Linked DNA regions of Drosophila melanogaster. The gene in region 1 interacts genetically with each later gene. Each region holds a gene or a part of one and is shown in the gene's direction. Other genes may lie near its edges. The genes, in order: lace, shi, norpA and hep.

Region 1 (7,780 bases):
TAAGCGAACCAGCCAAAGTGCAAAACCGCCAACATGCAACCAACAACAACCGGCAATCGACAACTAGCAGCAACACCAAAAATACACAGACAACCGAAATCGCAGTTAGCGGACCGAAATTGCAGACAGAAACACGGTTTGTGGCATTCAAAAGCGATTTGCACCATCAGATCATCGAGATAAGCATTAAGAATCTTTGACAGAAATTGGCTAGCTTTGAGATACAATGCATTTTTCTCCGTTTTAGGGATTAACTTGGCATAGAAGTGCAAAATATAGAAATAAGTAATAATGATCGAAGTCAACAAATTCATGAAATTTTCAACTTTACATTATATACTTTCAATGTCATGAGATTGTCAAGTGGAATATAAAAATCCTATTTAATTTATTATACAATATTTACATGTTACTAAAATAGACCAAGTAATAATATATGCTATATTTTAGAATATCCTCATCCTTGATTAAGTGCTTTGAGAAATAAATGAAACCTTCTCGAAAAGGGTATGTGATTTTCCCTCTGGCATCGGCGGAAACTTTTGCCTTCAGGGTGCCGCTGGCGTCGATCGGCAATCGCTGGATGAAAACCCGACGTGACCCGCTTTCTGGGCCTGCGGCTCAAAGGGCTTCAGCCCTGACAGTAGCACCCACTTTGGTGACTTGGACTCAGATTGGGTTTCAAATTTTTGGCATCTCCGGCTACGACAATTTGGCAATCATTTGCATATCGATGTAGCGATCGGTGCAGCTTTTGCCGGGGAACGTGTTGGCATTTTGCAGAGGCTACATCTGCCACAAAAGCTTCCAACTCAATTAGAAGCCTTAGCGTCGTTTTCATGTTGTTTACCCACAGTTGGGATGCGGCGCATACTGAAAACGAAACTGAAATGCGAGTTCAATGTTTTGATTTTGAAATGGGCTCTGAAAATCCTTGAAAAGTGTCATCGGCCGGCCACAGCAGATTAATTTACAAAATAGTCGAAATTCTTCCGCAATAAAATGTGAAGAAAAACAAAAGCCTGCGGTATGGAGATGATCTATTTATGAGGCGAAATCCACTGCCCGAGACGTGTCTCCTTGCGGCAAAGAGTCAACGCACTTCGCAGCTCATGAATTTTACTACAATTGCCGCTTTACGCACTTTTATCTGAATATCTGTTGCCTGAAATTCTGTTTTCCTCCTTTTCTTTGTGCATTTTAATCTAATTTATTATTGCCGGCGAGGCGGAATTTTTCTTTGCGTAAGTTTTGGACCGATTTTAATGCTCAAGGGGAAAATGCTTGACGTGTTAAGTCTGAAAACTTGTGGTTTCTAATATGTAATGGAATATAAAACATTATTTTTTTTAGCTTATCTCCCACTTAAATGATACATTGTTGAACCCTCGTATCATATATAAATTTATATATTTTCATTAAATTGCTGTCAAATAATTTAAGTTGAACCCCTATGTGACTAAAATAGAAACCATTTTAGTTTAAATAAATTTCTTTGAAAATCTAATTAATACAAAAATCTACTTCTCTTTTGCGACATCTGGCGCTCAGAAAGTATACTAAACAGCACTGTGGCTTGAACTGCTTGCATGGTGGAGGTATTCGCTAGGAGCTGGCAGTACTAAAAGCAGAGAACACAACCGGAAGCGTTATTCCACAAAATGTGGCCTTTTAAATTATATGTGAAAATACGATAAGTACCTTAAAATACCGAAGGCGCGCAGTTTTCAGTATAACAGCTGGCCGAGTAACTGGCCACACCATTCCAATTAGAAAGAAACCTATTTAAGCAAAACGCATCGATCTCTCCGTAATTTTTTGTCCGCTGAGTAATCGGAAATCGGCAACGGAATAATGGGCAATTTCGACGGCGATTCTGGAACGGTTTTCGAGCAGAGCTATGCGACGACCAACGGAAACGGAAAGGTGCCGAATGGCAATGGGGCGGCAGATCTCAGTGCCCCGGAAAAACAGGAACTTCTCCGGAAGTTCTCGGCACCCGCGTACACTGAAATTCGCACGCGACGCTGCCAGCCGAAGCCCGCAAACGACGCCCAGGTGAGCCAGGCATTTTCGCTCAGTGTGCGGGGTGAAACGCGAGTTAAACACTTGGACGAAACGAAAATAACGAGCTAAAAGGCCATAAAAATTGGCCAAAAATGTGGTTCCATAGCTGGTTCCATTCACCCTCTCGCTCGCTCTTCCAGCCGGCGAATTATTGATTTTGTGTGAGAGCGAGGGAGCGCGCATAAGAGAGAGGGAGAGAGAGTGAGAGTGAAGGCGTGCGTCAGCTGGAGAATTTCGGCCCAATTTTTGCTGCCCTTTTTGGCGATTTTCCTCCGCTTTTCCCGCTTCTGGGTCATCGGGCAGCCACAGCTGTTTTCCCTCCACTGCAGTGTTTTCCTCGCGTGTTTTCCTTTTCGCCGCGAGTGCTGACCATTTGGCGTATTTTGGCTACTTCCGGATGATAGAAACTATTAGAACTCTGCGGAAATATCCTATCATCATATACGATCAGAGAGTTATTTCATAAATTGTGATCATGAAAGGCAATTTGTAGTGTTGGAAATTAAAGTATTGGGCAATATTATTTCACTTTCATTATTATAATTTTAAGTAGTCTATACATTCCTCTGAGATAGCTATCTTACAATTGACTAAGCCCTAAGATAAGAACATCAGCATGTTAAAGTAACTTAGATTTCAGAAATTTCATAATACCTATTTTAGATGTGCGTTAAACTGTTTGGTACGCTAGTCCATTTTACCACATGCACTCTCTAATCTAGCCATTGTCTCTTCTTCGGCACTCCTGCACTCATTCGAAATTTTCCTAGTGACTGGAGTACGACCCCAAAGCAAACACACACATAAGTACGTAGTTTGGGTGCACAATGTGTGTGGGGAGAGCGGCACAATGCTGGTCTGGTCATAATATTGTCATGCCACGCCATGCCCGGCTCGCCTTATCAGGCCCATTCCACCAGTCTTTTACGTAAAGCCTCGCAGAATGCGATTCGCTGGTGAATCACAATGCTCCGCAATCTCCGAAGGCAGCGGTTTTGGGTGGGCGTTGATTTGTCGGTGATAAGAGTTTTGTTTTAAAATTCATGGACTCTCCCTGCGTCTGGGCTGCCAAAGAATAACTGTTGGCGGGTATACTTAACCGATTATCATATTTTTTATTATTCATAACTTTTTAAAAAGATAAGATAAACATATTATAACATTACATTCATTGGGTAATTCCGATACAATTCGATCTTTGGGGAGTGAGCAATTGTTAGTTTTCTTTTAAGTACCTAAAGATTTCATTATTGGTAGCTTTGTATTTCTTTTTTTCGGAAAGTAATACAATGGTTTACATAAAATTTATTTAATGAAATAGTTCCGTACCATGGCGACAACTTATTGAAATCATTCAGCTTGATTTAATGGCAACTAAAGACCTTTTCAAATTTTTAATCACACGAAAATAATGTTAGCGCGTGCAAGTCTCATATCTCCAATATCAACGGATAGAAAACTTTTATCAGCTCGGCAAGATTACAGTATGCATGATTTCAAAGGTAAAGGCTTAAATAAAAAAGAAATACTTAAGAATATGAAATTGCCAAAGCAATTATCTACTGACTCACAGCTAATACTTCTTGGAATCCCCACAAAATCGGTTAGAACTTGGCGTGCGCTGGTCGATTGTCAGTCGTTATCTTGGACTCCATGGATCCCCAACATATGGAAGTCATTATCTGGATCCCACACCATGCTCCCTACTTAGCTGTCCTTCTGTACGCGACCCATAGCGTAATTAGTATTACACTTTTTCTATTTATTTATTTATGTCGGTTTCGATTTTGATCTTTCTACGGTAGCTTCGAGCTCGTCTATATACCCTAACACTGGGACTCCATTAAATAACTAGGCATCGCGTAACCCACTTGACTTTTCGCTCCCCGCACTCCGTCTCATCGTATTTAGTAAACAAGCCCGGTGGCAAATGATAATAAACACGAAATATTATTGTCGCCGACTCGTTATTGTTATACGATTAAGCTGACGTTCAACTATATATATTTTTCGGAATATATATCTGCAGTTTGTGTTGCTCAGTTAATGAGATATATATATGTCTCGTATCGGATCCTTTGGCCAGCAAAATCAATAAGCAAATGATATATACACTTAAATAAGTACGTTAATTATAACGCTCTATTTGTTAGCTGGTGAGGTTGAAGTGTGCCAAGTTGGGCACACAAATACTATATACATTTATGGCTTCCCCTGTATGATTTTTGTGTCTGTCTCTTTTTGTGTGACTTCATGTCGAACTCGGCTCATGTGAGCGGTGGAGCAAATTGTTCAGCAGTTATCGTGTGATTGTATTTATATATGTACATACGTACCTTGCATATATGGATCTTTTAGTTAAATGTTAATTGACTGATGAATTGACTGAACGCATAGAAAGGGCAAGCAAGTGAGAATGTAGAATTTTTCATTTTTTTATAAAAGCGTTTACGCATGAGAACTATAAGTTTTGATATACATACTCGTATAAATGGGTATTACTGTGCTGATCCCTTTGAAGCGAACATGTTTACAATCTGTCTTACAATTTCCCATCTAGCCCGTCTAACAATATTGATTATTTGCTCTTTGATGAGTGATTTTCAATGGAAATTATGAAGATTCACAGTGATACCAATGATAGCGATAACCAGCCAATAATCGTTCCTCTCCCCTCTTACAGAGTCCCAGCTCGATCAACTACCATCCGGAAAAGAAGTCGATCCCCAATGGGCATGCCTCCATTCTGGATCAGGAGTCCAAGCCCAACCAGGCAGAGGGCAAACTTTCGCCGGAGCTGGAGCACTTCCAGAAAACCTCCTTTGAGGAGGTGCCTTTGCACACGGCCTGCCTTACGTATTTGGGATTCTATCTACTGATGATCCTGGGCTACATCAACCAGTTGCTCTTCGTGCCCAAAGTGGCCACCGAGAAGGGTCGGGATGGCTATGTAGCCCTCTACGATGCCTTCGAAAGCTTCTACTCGAGGTACGTTTACAGGAGAATCAAGGATTGCTGGAACCGACCCATCTGCAGTGTTCCGGGAGACGAACTCACTCTAAAGGATCGCGTAACCGATGATTATGGATGGAGTTTCAAGTTCACTGGAACGGAGACACGTTGCTTAAATCTGGGATCCTACAATTACCTGGGATTTGCCGCCGCTACTGGACAGTGTGCTGATGATTCAGAGGAAAGTGCTCGGAGCTCTGGACTGGCATACTGCAGCTCCCGTTGTGAGCTTGGTGACAACGAGCAGCTGCAAGAGCTGGAGGCTCTAACTGCCAGATACTTTGGCGTGGAGGATGCCATTGTCTTTGGAATGGGTTTCGCCACAAATGCGTTGAACCTTCCCTCACTGCTGGGACCCAACAGTCTTGTGATTAGTGACGAAAAGAATCACGCCTCCATCATTTTGGGACTGCGTTTGTCCGGGGCCACCACCAAGGTCTTTAAGCACAACAACATGCGCGATCTGGAGCGCGTCCTCCGTCAGGGTGTGTGCTATGGAAATCCCAAAAAAGGTGGTCAGCCATGGGACAAGGTTATGATCTTGGTCGAGGGCATCTTCAGCATGGAGGGGTCCATAGTCCGTTTGCCCGAGGTTATTGCTCTGAAAAAGAAATACAAAGCATACTTGTATTTGGATGAAGCTCACAGCGTGGGAGCCATGGGTTCCCGTGGACGAGGAGTTACAGATTATTTTAATGTGGATCCGAAGGAGGTGGACATTCTGATGGGCACCTTCACCAAAAGTTTTGGCAGTGCTGGAGGCTATCTCGCTGGATCCAAGGTATGCTTGAGTGGCTACACTTTCGCATATTCCTCACTTATCAATAATCTTTTATCCTCCCCAGAAACTGATTGACTTTCTCCGCACCAACAGCCACGCCCATTGTTATGCTGCTTCGATCTCGCCACCCATCGCACAGCAAATCCTTACCTCCATGAAGACCATTATGGGTGAAGATGGCACTGACATTGGACGCAAGAAGATCCACCAGCTGGCCAGGAACACACGTTACTTCCGCCGACGTCTGGCTCAGCTGGGAGTGATCACATACGGTCACGAGGACTCCCCAGTCGTGCCCATGCTGGTGTACCTGTTTTCCAAGATTGGGTAAGAATGGGGTCATAAAACCAAAATAACTTTTGTCATTAGATTGTGCGTGGAGGAGCATTTCATTTTTTAAAAGATCAAACGGGAAAAAACTTCAATTATCCTGTGGAGTCTCTTTTTACTAAACTGCATTTTCTCTTTGTAGCGCTGTGGTTCGCACCTTGACGACTCGCCACATTGCCGCGGTGGGAGCTGGATTCCCGGCCACACCCATCATGGAAGGACGCATCCGATTCTGCCTTTCAGCCGCCCACACCAAGGAGCAGCTGGACTTTGCCCTGGAGGCGATAGACGAGATTGCCGATGATCTGGGCCTAAAGTATTCTCGCAAGCCACGCGATCCGAATCCCGTCATTTACTAGAATCACACGCACACACATAGAAGTTAAGCTTGGGGAAATGGTAACCTCCCCGATTGGTAAACCAAAACTACAACACAGTCCAGATAGTGCTAAATCAATCACGAACGGTGGCTTACATTGACCAAGTTTCAGTTGCACTGGGCTTCTATTTATGACTAATTCTCTGGTTATATGCCTTAAAAGGGAAGATCACTACAGCAACAGAAACAAAACACTACAGCACATAGCTTAAATGATAAAATATTATTAATTATTTAGCATTTACCTCTACGTAGTTGTTATTGTATATGTAAAATCCAATCGTCTTCTTTGGTCGGCTGCTGCATTTTAAGTATTTATAGAAGAGAAAATGACAGCGCAATGTATTGGGCAAATCAGGGTTTGGTTACTTTTATAGCTAAGCTAAGGGAAGCCCCTTTTTCGTGGGAAAGCCTCGAGCACCTCGCTTCTACCAATTAAGCATACTAAGCTGAGCCAAATGTAACGTCTAAAGAGTCAGCGATACAATTGTAAATCACTATTTGGGTAAGTCTTCGGGGGACCCAAAAATTGGGTCAACTTTAGGGCATTGTCAGGAAATATATATGTATAATAATTATGTATTATTGATCTTATTTTTCCACCAAAAAAATAAAGAAATTGTTGCTTTATCTAATAAACTATATTGGAATAGCTTACTGTAAAAGTATTCACTGTACGGGATTCTTAAGTCTACTAGTGTAAATATTTATTTAAAATATATAAAACTTGGCGGGCAGATGAATCTTAAAGTCGAAAAATGTTTTGCCTTGTATTTTACATAAATTTTGACACAACTTATGCGACCTCTACAGTTAATTTACAGAAGTTGGATACTCGACGCAAATATAAAACACATATGTAGAGAATCCGCTAAGTCTAGGGCCTTAGTTCTTATTTTTGAGAAAATAAGAAGTACAGTGGCCATTAATTAAATAAAGCTACTTCTTGAACCATTTTTAATTAAGTAAATGCCTGACTTTTAAGCGATAATTAGAGATTAGCGATATCAATTAAATCGATATTGATAATATGTTATTTTAGACGATTTGGAAGTAAAATAAATAAAATTTGTTTCAGTATCATTTTGGTTGCACTGCCTCCTTTCTTTAATTTAAAATACATAAACTCCATTTGCAAGGGGTCAAGTTAATTTAAGTTTATGTAATAGGAATAGCAATCAATTGACAGTTCGACTTTCAAATCGTTCCTA
Region 2 (4,583 bases), on another chromosome or scaffold:
AGACTAAATGTTAAGCATTCGTGTTTTAAGGCTACAAAATGGACACTCCGTTCTTAACAACGCCTGCCAATTGGCACTTTCGCGAAACAAGAGCTCCAAAAGGTCGAGCAAAGACAACGTAACGCGACAGGGAAAAATATTTGGCTCGTTGTTTGGAAATCGGCTTAAAGGCAGCAAAAGCCATTGGTATCCATCGCCCGATGCAGGAACATCAGGCAATCAAAAGTCGCTGCACGCCTTAAAGTTTGGAACCCCACACTCGAAGACAACTTGCAGCCACAACAATCGACGCATGTCTGTTCTGAACAAGTTGTTCATGACGAACATCACTGATATTCTGGCCACCGGCGCAGTTGCCGATTCCATCGTGGGACACGGAGTGCAGATTTCCTATGTCAAGATCACCAGCGACTTCTCCCGCATCAATGTCTATTGGATGGGCAAGGATGGCGGGGAGAACCAAGAGCTCGAGAACACATTGAATCGCATGAGCGGCAAACTGCAGCACGAGCTATCGCAGCTCCATCTGATGGGCGAAGTGCCAAAGATCAAGTTTGTCCGGGACAAAACGAGCACTGGTCTCCATCAGGTCCACGAGGTTCTGTCCAAAATCGATCTTCAGCACAGTTACTCTAGTTCAAATGCGGAAGTTGAAGAAAGCGACGCACAGAGTTGTCAGACGGCTGCGGATGAGGAATGGCCGGAGATGCGACAGGATTTCCTCAGTTTTAACCATAGCTTAGTTATGGACAAGATTCTCGGCAAGATGCGCAAGTCCAAAGATGCCTGGGTTAATCATAGACAAAATATTGCGAAAACCTAACGTTTGTTAAATCCCTCGACTTATGTACATAATGTTAATTATTAAAGTGTTATTCAATCCAATGTAAATTGGGTTCTAAAGTTGAAAATAGGGGTAGGGTCTGTAAACGTTTAATCATTTTCCAATAAGTTTGAAATGTTGGCTACTTTTATCCCAACTAGTTCATCATGTTGAGTGGTTTTAAAATAGAGTATCGATTGCGTTTCTAAAAAAAAGCTTTAACGGCTTAAAATTGAATGTCAAAGGTCAAATCATTACCATACTCGATTATGTTATTATGCTTTTAAAGCTTGCGCACTGCATCTGTATCTGTTATCGATATAAAGCAAAAACGCAGAAAAGCCGGACATGCGCATAAAATGAATAGTTTTATAAGCTTTTAGTATTGGTTATATATTCCCTTCAGGATATGCATATTGTAGATGTGCATTTAATTTAATAAATAGATAGATAATTACTTGTAAGTTAATGTAATCAAATCAGCTGTTTTTGATAGTTGCGATAGTAGGCGACCTTGCGCTTAAATTGATATCGATGTCGGATAAAGCACTGGACTTGTTATCGAAACCAACACTTAGCTTCGGCATACGGAAACTATTCGATATATCGATGTATCGCGAGTGATTCACCCAGCCCTATCAATTATACCAAAAAAAATCAGACCAGACCAGCTTATCGGGTACAGATTGATTACTTTCTTGCATCTCTAGTTTTAGTCGAAAAAATCCATTGAAACGATTTGGAAGCGGAGTGTGGTGATAGTTGTCAGTTTTGCACAATAAGAAGAATATTTGTTTAAAAGACCAAGCCAAAGCCCAAATCGCAGTGCGCTCTTTGTGGCGATAAACATGACATCTACACTAACACAACACAGTTACGCCTGAGAAATAAGTGACAAATTGGAAAAGTCGATGATAAATTCGTTTGGGAGTATATATACAAATTATTTTCGTGTAAATGTCGATAAACACTTTTGCTCGCAAAACCCAACAATCATACCCGTCTTTACCTTCTTCGCGATTCCAATTCCGATTCCAATAAGTTTCGCTACATCGCCATTATAATCCGAAGAAGCAAGAAAGGTTATTGTGGTGGTACATACAATATATCGGGTTGGTTAATCGTGTGGGAGAATGAGTAACTCATGAGTGCTCTCCAATAACGATTTCTGTTTGCAATTTTCCCCATTCCCCCACGATTTACGCATATTTGTTATTAACCACCACCCCCACCGCCGCACACAAATTTTGTCAATTTTTTTTTTGTGTTATCTATACAAACGAAAAGAAAAGTGATGGAACGCATGAAAGTATTTATAATGCAGCAATTGTATTTTGCAGAGGAGTGTGTGCAGTGAAGTAAAGCCAGCGATTAAAGGAAACAGCATAGAAAAAAAAAAGACCCGGGAGCTGAGCAGTAAAAACACAAACATCCGGACGAGTTGGGATCGCAGTTCGATCTGATCTGATCTGATATCTAATCTAATCTAATTGTGAGGGAAATCGGACCTCGCCGCAATGGATAGTTTAATTACAATTGTTAACAAGCTGCAAGATGCGTTCACATCGCTCGGCGTCCACATGCAACTGGATCTGCCGCAGATCGCGGTGGTCGGTGGCCAGTCAGCTGGCAAGAGTTCCGTTTTGGAGAACTTTGTGGGCAAGTGAGTATCCCCCGCACGCCTTATCAGCATATTATCCTCTCATATGGGATCATACTATCATACCATATCACCCTATCAGCACCCCAAATATCTAGCCTACATATATTGTGATTGATAATGGACCTGAAGAGACCCCTCTTTGGCATGCAGCGAATCGATTTTTCTGCACGCCAGTGCTCAGCGAAAAGTAGCGCTATTCTTTCTATTATGTCTGCGTTTCGTGGAATGCCCAATTAAATGTTACTGAAAAACTATGAGTAATCGCTGATAGCACTCGCTTTCAGGCATTATTATTATTTTTTTTTTTTTTGGTTGTTTATTAACAATCAATAATTGGTGTCTACGAAACAAGTGTACTTGCTCATAATGACCAAACCATATCAGTGGTCTTAACTTAATTATGATAATAAGAATTTTATCTTTCACCTGCACAAAGCTGTTGAAAATCCAAAAGCCCCGCAGCTCTGCAAACTATATTCACAAAACGAATTGTAGAACATCTACGTATACGTATTTTGAATTTTGTTAAACAGAAATCTAAATTGTATGTATCAATGCGATTTCTTGTGTGTTTGTATCTATAAGCCTGCGCTGTCTCTCATTTTTCTTTGTTAGTGTCCACTCTAAATACAAACATATAAAGAAAACAATGGCTTACGCCCCAAAAAAATGCAGATAAGGCCAAAATGATAGTGTGTCGGCGATTTAAGTTTTTCCCCACTCTTGCCCAACGATTGAGTAGAGTAACTCACATTCTATATGTTTACTTTCGAATATATTTGTAAAAGTTTGACCTCCTTTAGAGTCGATTTATTTATTTTTCATAGCTTGCAAATAAGGGGGGGGGGGGGTGCGCTGAAAAAGAACATTAATCAATATGCCCATTCATGTATTTACAAACTGCATTGAGCCATGTAAAGTTTGTGCTTACATAAGTCCACTATGTTCAAAATAGTCCAGTTAGATTTCGCATGCGCCGTGCTTTATATGTATGTATGAATGTATGTATGTGTGTCAATTAGGGTGGTTACCCCGCCCCCCGCCCACCTGACACCACTGAGCCATCGGAGGAAGCGAGAGAGGCAGCGAGACCCACGGCCACGGCAGGCCAAAGTCTTAATGTCAATGGAAAATGAAGGCTTCTTCTAACTCTGGTCAGTGCGAACAGGATGTAGGTGACCAGAGTGTTCAAAATGACCCATTTACCATTTGATTTATTAGCCTAGCTAACAAATAGCTTTACTTTAAGTACTCAGTGGTATTAAACAATGCCCAACACTTTTGGAGTCCTGAAGTTCTCACTTGGAAATTTAAACACTAGCTGCAAGTCATAAGTTAAATTTCCATTAAGTTTTTAGTATTGGCAACTCAAATACTCATTATTCGATGCAATTTCAAAATGTTTTGATACTAGGCTTAATGCTTTCTACATACTTCTTAAGCCCAGTAGTAATATTGTTAGATGAACAGGCTCCACAATCCAAAAACCAAAGACTTCTATGATTCCATTATTAAATACAAAACGTTTTCCCCATTTTACAGAGATTTCTTGCCGCGCGGCTCTGGTATCGTAACTCGGAGACCACTAATCTTGCAACTGATCAATGGAGTTACCGGTAAGTTGAGCATTTGATATGATTAAAGAGAAGCTATCTTCTAATGCTAACATTGATATTTATTGCAGAATATGGCGAGTTCCTTCACATTAAAGGCAAGAAGTTTTCCAGCTTCGATGAGATCAGAAAAGAAATCGAAGATGAAACGGATCGTGTGACCGGTAGTAACAAAGGCATTTCAAACATTCCAATTAATTTGCGCGTCTACTCGCCGCACGTACTCAATTTAACCCTGATCGATTTGCCAGGCCTGACAAAGGTGGCCATTGGCGATCAACCGGTGGATATTGAGCAGCAAATTAAGCAGATGATATTCCAATTTATTCGCAAAGAGACTTGTTTAATTTTGGCTGTGACCCCGGCCAATACGGATCTGGCCAATTCGGATGCCCTCAAGCTGGCCAAGGAGGTGGATCCACAGGGTGTGCGAACCATTGGCGTTATAACCAAGCTGGATCTGATGGACGAGGGCACCGATGCA
Region 3 (4,734 bases), on another chromosome or scaffold:
CAGCACTCGCTGCACATTACCTTGAGTGTTTACCAACAGCAGGCATATGCCAATCTTCTAGAGACACTAATGCCCATGGTTCTTAAGAAGGCCGTCGATCGGAGTGTGGCCTTGCGTCGCGGCTTGCCGCTGCACACTTTTCAAGTTTTGGGCAATGCCTACAAGGGAAATGACTGCGGGTCGCGCAAACAGCTGGTGGAGAATGTGCAGAAGCTGGTGACCAATTACTTGATGCCCTCCGAAGATGATATTGATGAGGCCGTCGACCAGATGGCCAAGAAGTTCCAGCACGAGGCACTTCCGCCGATCGTATTGCCCTCGGAGGAGGTGCGCACTGTTCATGGGGCACGCAGTGATGCCGATGAGCAGGGCAACTGCGTCTGCGATTACAAATTCAATAAAAAGACATCCGTGCGCCTGCTGCGTGCCAACATTCTGCGTCTGGTGACCGAGTCCGATGGCAGCGTGCGTATCTACCACCATGTGGACAATGGCCTGGATTACTGCAAGTACGAGCCCTATTTCATGGAGATTCTGCCAGAGGAAGCTAAAGCCGTTGAGCTCCTCATATCGGCCTATCCATTTTACCTCACCATTGATCAGTTGCCATTGGAGTCTTCAGCTCGCAAGATAGAGGTCGCCACCGCCCTGTGGGAGCATGGTCTTCTTATGACCGAGAAGCCGTTTAAGTAGACGGCAATCGAAAGCGAGTTGCTGTTGATAATTAGAATTAAGTATCGATGCGAATGTGTATCTAAAACGAGCGTAAATTAATATTTTTGTATAAATATGTAACCAGATTTATAATGCTCCTATTCTGCCGAAAATAAAGCACCCACATTCGCACATATATCTCGGTTGTTTTTTGGTGTTTCCAATAGTTGTAAATTTTATTTTTTTCACTAACAAAAAATGGTTATCTTAGGCGCTGCGGATTTTCTTGCGTTCACGATAAAGGCTTTCCTGTTGAACTGAAAAAGAAACATGGGCAACATCAGTGCATATGCATAAAGTCAGTGATGGCCGGCACTCACTGTACGGATCGAAGCGTATTATCTCCAATTTGTCGGCCAAGCGATCGCGAAAAGCATTAAACTGATGTCCACTGACCACACTTTCCAGTACGACCATGATGCGCCTGTAAAAACGGTTGGTTTTAACAAAAAGAACAAATTGGATGTCCAAATTACTCACTTGCTCTTCACCTTTTTGAACAAAACGTTAGTTAGACGCATTTTGATTCGGTAAATGGGGAAAATGCAGTGAATTATGGAAATATGCCGCTGAAATTATTGTGCAAGCAAGACGATAGGAACGAAGAACAGCTGACTGCGCCTATCGATTACCACCCGAGGGCTCAAGCTTTTCACCCGGATATTTTGAAAAACAATCGGTGTCCACGTATGATGAGTATATATTTAATATTACTATATTTATATTTGATGCATTTATGTCTCTCTGTTTTAAAGCCTTCCTTTCGAAATTGCTAAAAAGCTCTCAGATGCAATGTGGTTAGTAGAAGTCATTCACATATGTATCTTTGGTTGAAGTCCCTGCCAATTAAATATTAAAAAGTTAACATACAGGTTTGAGTCCGTGCTAGAGACTGCAAGCTGTGCCACTGAGGTTAACAGAAGCCAATCGATACCAAGCGCAAGCACTGAAATGTATCGTCGAGAAACATCGGTGGTCAATGCATTCGATGCTTTTTTACATCACTAACACTCGTGCGAAACGGACGCGAATTTTCATTTGTGCTGCGGAAACCAACAACAACAGACAACAAATAAAAACAAACGAAAAACAAAACGGTCAAAATTCCGTGTAAAAAAACTGAAGCCTTGGAAAAATAGAACGAAAAACATAGACGCACTAAAAGCTCAGTGAAGTCCTTTGTGGGCGAAACCGTATAATAAAATAAATCACAGCCACACGCGCTTTCTGTAACTCCTTTTCGCCTTGCCCTGCTCTTGTTTTCCCTTTTAAATATTTTTTTTACGAGTTGGTTTCCCGAGAATTTCCCATACTCGCGCGTGGTAAACAAGACTCATTTTTTTTTTACAGTGTTTGTTTTTTGAAAGTGCAGAGAAGCTGACAAGAAAGAGATAACAACATAAAAACAGAAACAGCCAAAGAGTGGCAACAACAAACAAACCAACCAAACGGAATCAAAGTCAAACAAACGCGAACGCGAAGGAAGCTTCAAAAGAGAGACAAGAGCGTGAAAAGGAGGTGGAGAGGAGCTGCGGAGAATCTAAGGTAGGAGGCAGATTGCGAAAAATACGTTTTTTTGTTTTTTGTTGATTTGCATTTGCATATTCAAAAGTTCTCTGTTTTGAGGGTTGCAGAAGCGAAATTAGTTTTTAAAGCCCGCTTAGTAGCCAATTTGCCGGAATTGCACATTGGAATTCAGTGTGTTCCTAAGTACATAAATCACTAAAAACTAACGGCAAAAATTCAAATAGCTTTCAACAAATATTTACAATTACTCATTGATAAAAGTGGTAATGTGATCCATGTGTAAGTTGTTAAATTATTTTCGTAGCGCATTTGTACGAATGAAAGACTGCAGTAAAAGTTTTCGATTGCATGCAGATCGCTTTCCGAGTTTAAGAAGAAAAGTTGTGGAAAACGTTTTCCTTCTTTAGAGACATCAACTTAATCAAATATCGAACAGCTAGTAAGCCATTGAAATCACATCAGTTTCTTTCTGTGCATCTGGCAAAGTGCTTGATTGTTGATATTTCGAGAGGGGGTTTTCGAAAAGCGATCGGAAATCCAAATTGTAAATGATTTACCAAAAACGTAAACTTGGCCGTGACGAGGGGCAAGAAATGGTCGAAACGTGGGCTGGAGCGGAGCAGGAGCAGGTGAAATACATAAACAAACAAGTGCTCGAAGGAGGGTTAGTTGTGGGAGGGGCTACGCAAATACATAAGTATATGAATAAATAATATAAACAAAATATTAAATTAGAAGAAATTTACTTGCGCGCACGCCGACGCAAACACGAACACAAGGTGCTGGTTGTTGTTGTTAGGATGGTGTGGATATGTGGTGGGGAGGGAAAAGCACACATAAAATTGAAGTATTCAAATTTACACACGCAAAAAACGACGTCGGCAGAGCAAACAACAATTTGCCAGTCCGCCAGCCCTCTCGCTCGCACCCATCCGCACTTGGTCGCCGCGTCTCGCTCGCACTAACGACGGCCACTTGTTTTGCCCTCTGTCGACGTCCACGCAGCCACTGTGCACTGAAAGAAACAAAAGACATGGTACAACATATTCATGAATCGCTTGTAAGATTGATATTTTTTTATAAACGCTCACTTTTCTGTTAACAATACAATATTTTACTCGAAAAATTTAAGAGTTTAAAATATTTAAACTTTAGTGTAAAATCACTGAGTTATTCGACACTGTTATTTCAAAATAAAAAAAATAATGATTTACGACCGATAAACAAAACAAATTTAAAAAAATTGAGCCGCAAATACTTTAAATCATCCAATTCCCATTTAGCTTTATCATTTTTTTTCTTTTTAATTTTGTAGGTGTTAATTAGCAAATACTCATATTTTCCATCTCTCGCCCAAGCTGCAAATGTGCATTATTCAAGCTCTACTGTAGTTCTACGTAGCTTACTTTTTGTGGCAAGTGTGGCGATCAGAAGCTTTATTATGCTTCTCCCTCATTTCCTTTTGTTTGTTTGAACTGCAACCGAGCGAAAGGGGGCGTGCCAGTGGGCGGTGGGTGGCCTGGGATTGTGCAATAAAGCTATAATAATAAAATAACAAACAAACCGTTAAAGCGAACGCCGTCGCACACTCATCGCACCCACACAAACGCACCATAGGTATTGGTGTGTGGCTGCATGATGGGGCGGAAGAAATGGAGAGGAGAACGGCAGGCGAAGGAACAATAATCATATTTGCACTTGCTCTCTCGCACGATCATCACCCACGCAGAAAGAGCGGGCAAGAGCAGCAGAGAGCGCCGGTACAGTAGTCATTCGTCGCACGTATATAGCTGGCCATAAAAGTGGATAGTCATCAATGTGTACTGTTTAGTTTCATAGCATTTATAGAGCAGTTTAGTTTGTTCAATATATTCATATGCAGATTAATTATTTAAATCAGCACTTATCCGTCTGCACAAAAAGGCCCCACTGTACTTGAGATAAAAGTTCTCCGTTGCTGGCTCTCCGTTCTCAGTTGGTCAGTGGTCGTCCGCCGGAGCTTTTCCCGTTAGTCCGCTCGCATAATATAATCCGCGATAAACAAGGGAACACGGCACGGAGAGAGAGCGAAACGGCAACGTGTTTCGTTTTGGTGTCAGTTTCGGTTTTGTTTGCCGCATGTTTACCCATTGTATTATTATTACCTGTTCTATTTCTTTTTCTTTTTTTTATGTGTGTACATTTTCACAGCAATCGCATATTTTTTGCAGTGGCTGTGAGCTGAAATACAAAAAATAAAAAAAACAAGTGCAACCAAATACAGTGTTACCTGTTGTGAGTAAACTTAAGGAAACGTGGAGAGAGCGAGAGAGTGCGACAGCCGACTGATCAAACTGTAAATCTTGCAATGCTCTTCAAACTGAAATTCGCAAGGCGGGAAAAAACAAACAAATATAAATAAACAAGAATAACAAACAAAAATAGGTAGCAAAAGCAGGAACAACAAAAGCCGAAGCCAATTAATTAAATACATATCTACGTAAGTTAAACACA
Region 4 (4,556 bases), on another chromosome or scaffold:
CGGATAGAACTTGTCCAGGCTGGTGCTCATCACCTCCATGCAAATCCAGACATCGCCCTCGCGATACATCGCACCATAAAAGTGGACGGTGTAGGGGCAGTCGCTGGATCTCATCGATATGTCCAAATCCATTACAAGGCGGTGCTGTTCTCGAATATTTACGGTCATGGGTATGCGTTTGACGGCCAGGACCGTATCGGTTTGCTTATGGCGCATCTTATCCACGATGCCATAGGCGCCACGGCCCAGATCGCAGATCTTCTCGAGACTATCTGCATCGATGTCAAAGGTCCGGTCGCCAATTTGGATGGTGGCCCGCGAGTCCAGGTTGCGTGGCGGGACTCTAAAAGGATTGCCGAATGTAGTTCAATTCACAATTCGTTTCTGGCCAGGATTTGACCATTTTGACTTACATGGCGGCCTCTGGCTCCTTGGCAATGGTAAAGGGCGTGAGGCGGTGGCGTTTGGACATTTTGGTAGGCCCTTCTATATCCTATATCCTATATGCTATATGCTATATATACCCTCTCCTCTCCACGACTTTCCTTGGTGTTTTCTGGCGGATTCTGCAAGACTTGGCGGTTCGGTGCGAATCGGATGCGATGCGGTGCGGCTATTTTTACCGCATTTGGTCAGGTCAGGATTCGGATGCGGGTCGGTGATATGGGGATCGGATCGGTGTGGATCGTGTGGCCCGGGTTTTGCCGCCCAACCTTTCGCTATTGCCTTTGCTTTCCTTTCCGCACTTTTTGCACTGTTCACCGATCGCTTTTCGCTTCTCTTCTCGTTTTTCTCTCTTTTCCACTAGCGCTGGCCAGCCGCAGTTGGTCCTATCGATATATCCCAACGAGTGCAGCTATAGTATCGTCATACAAATAAATCGAAGTGCCTCGATAATAAATTTGCTTCCACCTGCAACGAATTTAGATAATTAAGTTAGGTATCGATTATATCTATATCTCTTTGTAAGCCTTCTAGAAAGTTGTTCCGTATATTCTTCATACCTATTTTTTAATGTTTGTTTATTTTCTTTAATTTTTTATTTATACATTTATAGACATTTATTTTAAGGGAAAACTTAATAAGTTCTAGCCAAGTGATGCCCATCTTAAGTTGCATTTCGGTATATTTATGATTCTTTTTAGCACTTTGGTCACTCCGTTTTCGATACGTAATGTTGCAAGTTTGACTGAACATATAGAATTCGATGTTTTAGAATTGTACTAAAATAATTTATTATTTTATTAATTAATAAATAGGTAGACCTTATATTATTATTTTAAGTACAAGAACAACGAAGTCTCTCGAATCGACCAATTTGAATTTGAAAAATCTATTATAGTTATATTATATTTGTATGAAATATCCTCTGAAAATTATTCTATCTCGGTAAAATAAAATCCTACATAGTTTTAGATGCCGTTCCTAGTTCGAAAACTGTTTCTGAGGTGCCGATGTTTTGCAAACCATCGATAGGCACGAAAAAAGATATTAAGAATTATCGGCGAAGAACCATCGATGGCTGATGCATCGATGTTTTTTTACATCACTATTGTACACGCGATTTAGGCAGCAAAAACGTACAAAAGCGAGTGATCAAATTGTGCCAGTGATACCGCCGCCCGCGGTCGCGAAACGAATCGATTGCAGAAGTGCGACAAACAGCGCCGCGAAAGGAAAACAACCGATGAAATATTCTCCCAAAAAAGGAGGAAAAAATCGCAAGTTGTTGTTGCCGTTGCTGCTGAAAAAGAAAGAGAGAGAGGGCGCTGCGTGTATGCCTGTGTGTGTGCGTGTGTGGGGGTGAGGATGTCTCTCTCTAATGCACAGTGACTGTGTTTTCCTTTTTTCGATTTTGTTTTTGTGCCCCCCCTTGGCAAACAACAAAAGTCCAAGCAATCCTTTATTTTTGCAAGTGTAAAGTTTACAGTGTATGTGTGCCGCCGAACAACAACAACATCAGCGACAAAACAAACAGGGCGCACAGCAAAACAATTCACACACACACGCACCCTCCCCCGCCTGCGCGCGCTTGTGTGTGTGTGAGAGAGAGGGAGTGAGTGAGAGGAAAATCGAAGAAGTGCTGGCCAAAAAACGGCGAAAAAAATTTAATAAATACCAAAATCCAACGATACTAGCAACTAACTATAAAAAATCGAACCAAATCGACTCGATATAATGTCCACCATTGAGTTCGAAACGATCGGCAGTCGGCTGCAATCCTTGGAGGCAAAGCTCCAGGCGCAGAATGAGTCCCACGACCAGATCGTCCTCTCCGGTGCGCGCGGCCCTGTCGTTTCCGGTTCCGTTCCATCTGCCCGCGTCCCGCCCCTGGCGACATCCGCATCCGCAGCCACATCCGCCACCCACGCACCTTCCTTGGGCGCAGGTTCCGTTTCCGGATCGGGTATCAGCATAGCCCAGCGTCCAGCACCTCCAGTTCCTCATGCGACGCCCTTCGGCAGCGCCAGCGCCTCGTCATCATCCTCATCCGCATCCGCATTTGCATCCGCAGCACCGGCGACGGGCACCTTCGGTGGAACATACACCCCGCCGACAACTAGAGTGTCGCGAGCCACGCCCACACTGCCCATGCGTAAGTCCTCTTTTCGTTAACTTCCTACTAAATCTTTAATATATAAAATTAATTGGGATCAACTAGAAAAACACTGTAGTTACCTGAATCTTTGAAAATCGTTGAAGAAAAATATAACAAAATATAATGTCACAACTAAACTCCATGTACCAGGGAATACTCTAAACCGCTATCTAAAAATGATAGCTTATCAAACTGCGTACTGTAACTCAAAATTTTCCAACGAGACTTTCCCGATTCGAATATTCGATAATTCTCTACTTTCGAAAGTAAATCGTTGTCGAAAAACAGTTTTGGCCGCCAAAAACGTGGTAAAACTTTCCAAGTAAATTTCCAAACGCACAAACAACATTTTTGATATTAATTCGCAGAAAGATCAATGTTTTATCGATCGAACATTAGACAGGTGAAATCTTTATTGATCCTCTGTGACAGGTGTGGATTTAAGCCAACATTTCTCTGACCGCAACTGTAGACAGTTTGTTAAGTGGTAATAAAAGTGGGCTGAGAAAAATCGTGATCCCCAAAAATGGTCACCAAAAATCTATATATACCGTACCGCCAACCGCAAGCCACAAAACCATCTTTTGTCCGCATTTGTGTAAATATTTTGTTAATAAATTGTCATTGCCCAATAAGCTGTGTATGTGCGCGTGTGTGTGTGTACATACATGTATGTGTGCTTAAATTGTGATAAGAGAAGTGCTCTTTTCTTGGCTTTTCCCATTGCTATTGCCATTGGGTTTACTTTGGAGCATTTGGATGCCGCCAACAAAGGGCAAACGCTATCGATTCCCCGACTGCATAACAGCTGCTCATAATCCCCCATTCCAGCACCTCAGCAGCGCCCCGTCAACCCCGTAGCTCTGCCGCTTTTCCCCCCCTCCGATTTCCCGTTCTGTTTTTCCGATTGCATAGATAAGACAGGCCAAGTGCGAACACCAAAAGCGTACCCAACTTGTTTTCGGCCTTTTGTTGGGCCAAACAAAAATAAAAAGAAGTCAAATCTACAGTGGTATTAACAGCTGTGAACCGCGTCAATTTATTTTCGCCTCGATTAGATTAACAATTCCTGGTACCATAACTGTTTGATACATGAACCCCAGAAAATGCCTAATGGGTTTTTGAATAATCAAATACATTTCGATTCGATTAGATTAGTAGTGGTTAATAGTTTCCGCGAATTTCAGGGGTACTTAAAATCACACCCAAATTTTAACAGTGTAATCAGCTATTGAATAGATTTTCAAGTTCGTGGTACATAATGAGCGAGCAAAAGTTAAATGAATAAATAGCTAACAAAATATAACGGTCTATATGTTAATTTATCAGAACAAAATTGGTTTATTAAAGACAAAAGTTGTCGTTATTCGATTATTTATGAGGCTTAAATTGATAGAAATTTTAAATTTTTCATGTAAGAGATGACGTTATTGTGCCCACGGTTGTGAGACCACCCACCGCCTTTTTTCGTTTCTTTTCCCCTTCCTTTTGTTATACATTTAAGTTTTTGCATATTTGTCTTGTATATTTTTCTTATTGGATTTTCATCTGCCATCAAGTGTTGTTATTTATTTACTTACATACTTTTTATTTACTTTTTGCATGTGTGCGTCTCTCTACTCGCGTTTGGTGCTCTCTTCCTCTCTCGCTCTCCGCCATTGGTTACTTTTTGGCATTTCCGGAGTAATGTCTTGATATGCCCGTTACTGTTGTTGTCATTTTTTTTGGGCCTCACATATTCCCACCTCCGCCGCACCCTGCCCACATTCGTTCATCGGACATTGTGCCGTGTCTCCTCTTTCGCATGTTTACAAATAGCGTTATTTTTTATGACGTGCTGTTGTTGTAGTGGCTAATTGTTGAATTGAATTGCTGCCAGGGAAAAAAAAACTTCGCAAACAAAAACAAAATCGCTCTCATTCGCTCTTCCTCTTCATGCACACACACACACACGCAC

The links.
Region 2: of lace (region 1) and shi, changing one suppresses a phenotype caused by changing the other (phenotypic suppression), as found in Drosophila melanogaster (one study listed by BioGRID).
Region 3: of lace (region 1) and norpA, changing one suppresses a phenotype caused by changing the other (phenotypic suppression), as found in Drosophila melanogaster (one study listed by BioGRID).
Region 4: of lace (region 1) and hep, changing one suppresses a phenotype caused by changing the other (phenotypic suppression), as found in Drosophila melanogaster (one study listed by BioGRID).

What each region holds. Positions count from the first base shown.
Region 1 is NT_033779.5:15,497,367-15,505,146, forward strand, and holds lace (lace), read left to right. Parts: upstream 1-1,760; 5' UTR 1,761-1,854; coding exon 1,855-2,058; intron 2,059-4,750; coding exon 4,751-5,860; intron 5,861-5,924; coding exon 5,925-6,187; intron 6,188-6,332; coding exon 6,333-6,549; 3' UTR 6,550-7,652; downstream 7,653-7,780.
Region 2 is NC_004354.4:15,890,665-15,895,247, forward strand, and holds the start of shi (shibire), read left to right. Parts: upstream 1-1,535; 5' UTR 1,536-1,587; exon of another isoform or gene 1,588-1,917; intron 1,918-2,163; 5' UTR 2,164-2,340; coding exon 2,341-2,486; intron 2,487-4,028; coding exon 4,029-4,102; intron 4,103-4,170; coding exon 4,171-4,583. Other genes in the region: CG15916 (uncharacterized protein), read left to right, coding at 8-823. UniProt on the Drosophila melanogaster protein: Microtubule-associated force-producing protein which is involved in the production of microtubule bundles and which is able to bind and hydrolyze GTP. Implicated in endocytic protein sorting.
Region 3 is NC_004354.4:4,320,897-4,325,630, forward strand, and holds the start of norpA (no receptor potential A), read left to right. Parts: upstream 1-1,729; 5' UTR 1,730-2,259; intron 2,260-2,712; exon of another isoform or gene 2,713-2,905; intron 2,906-4,451; 5' UTR 4,452-4,720; intron 4,721-4,734. Other genes in the region: NO66 (nucleolar protein 66), read left to right, coding at 1-693; mRpL33 (mitochondrial ribosomal protein L33), read right to left, coding at 922-971, 1,035-1,138, 1,195-1,235. UniProt on the Drosophila melanogaster protein: The production of the second messenger molecules diacylglycerol (DAG) and inositol 1,4,5-trisphosphate (IP3) is mediated by activated phosphatidylinositol-specific phospholipase C enzymes. Essential component of the phototransduction pathway.
Region 4 is NC_004354.4:13,087,399-13,091,954, reverse strand, and holds the start of hep (hemipterous), read left to right. Parts: upstream 1-1,520; 5' UTR 1,521-2,178; coding exon 2,179-2,596; intron 2,597-4,556. Other genes in the region: lic (licorne), read right to left, coding at 1-343, 414-472. UniProt on the Drosophila melanogaster protein: Required for the epithelial cell sheet movement called dorsal closure (DC), which allows establishment of the dorsal epidermis. Controls the expression in the dorsal epithelium edges of another dorsal closure gene, puckered (puc).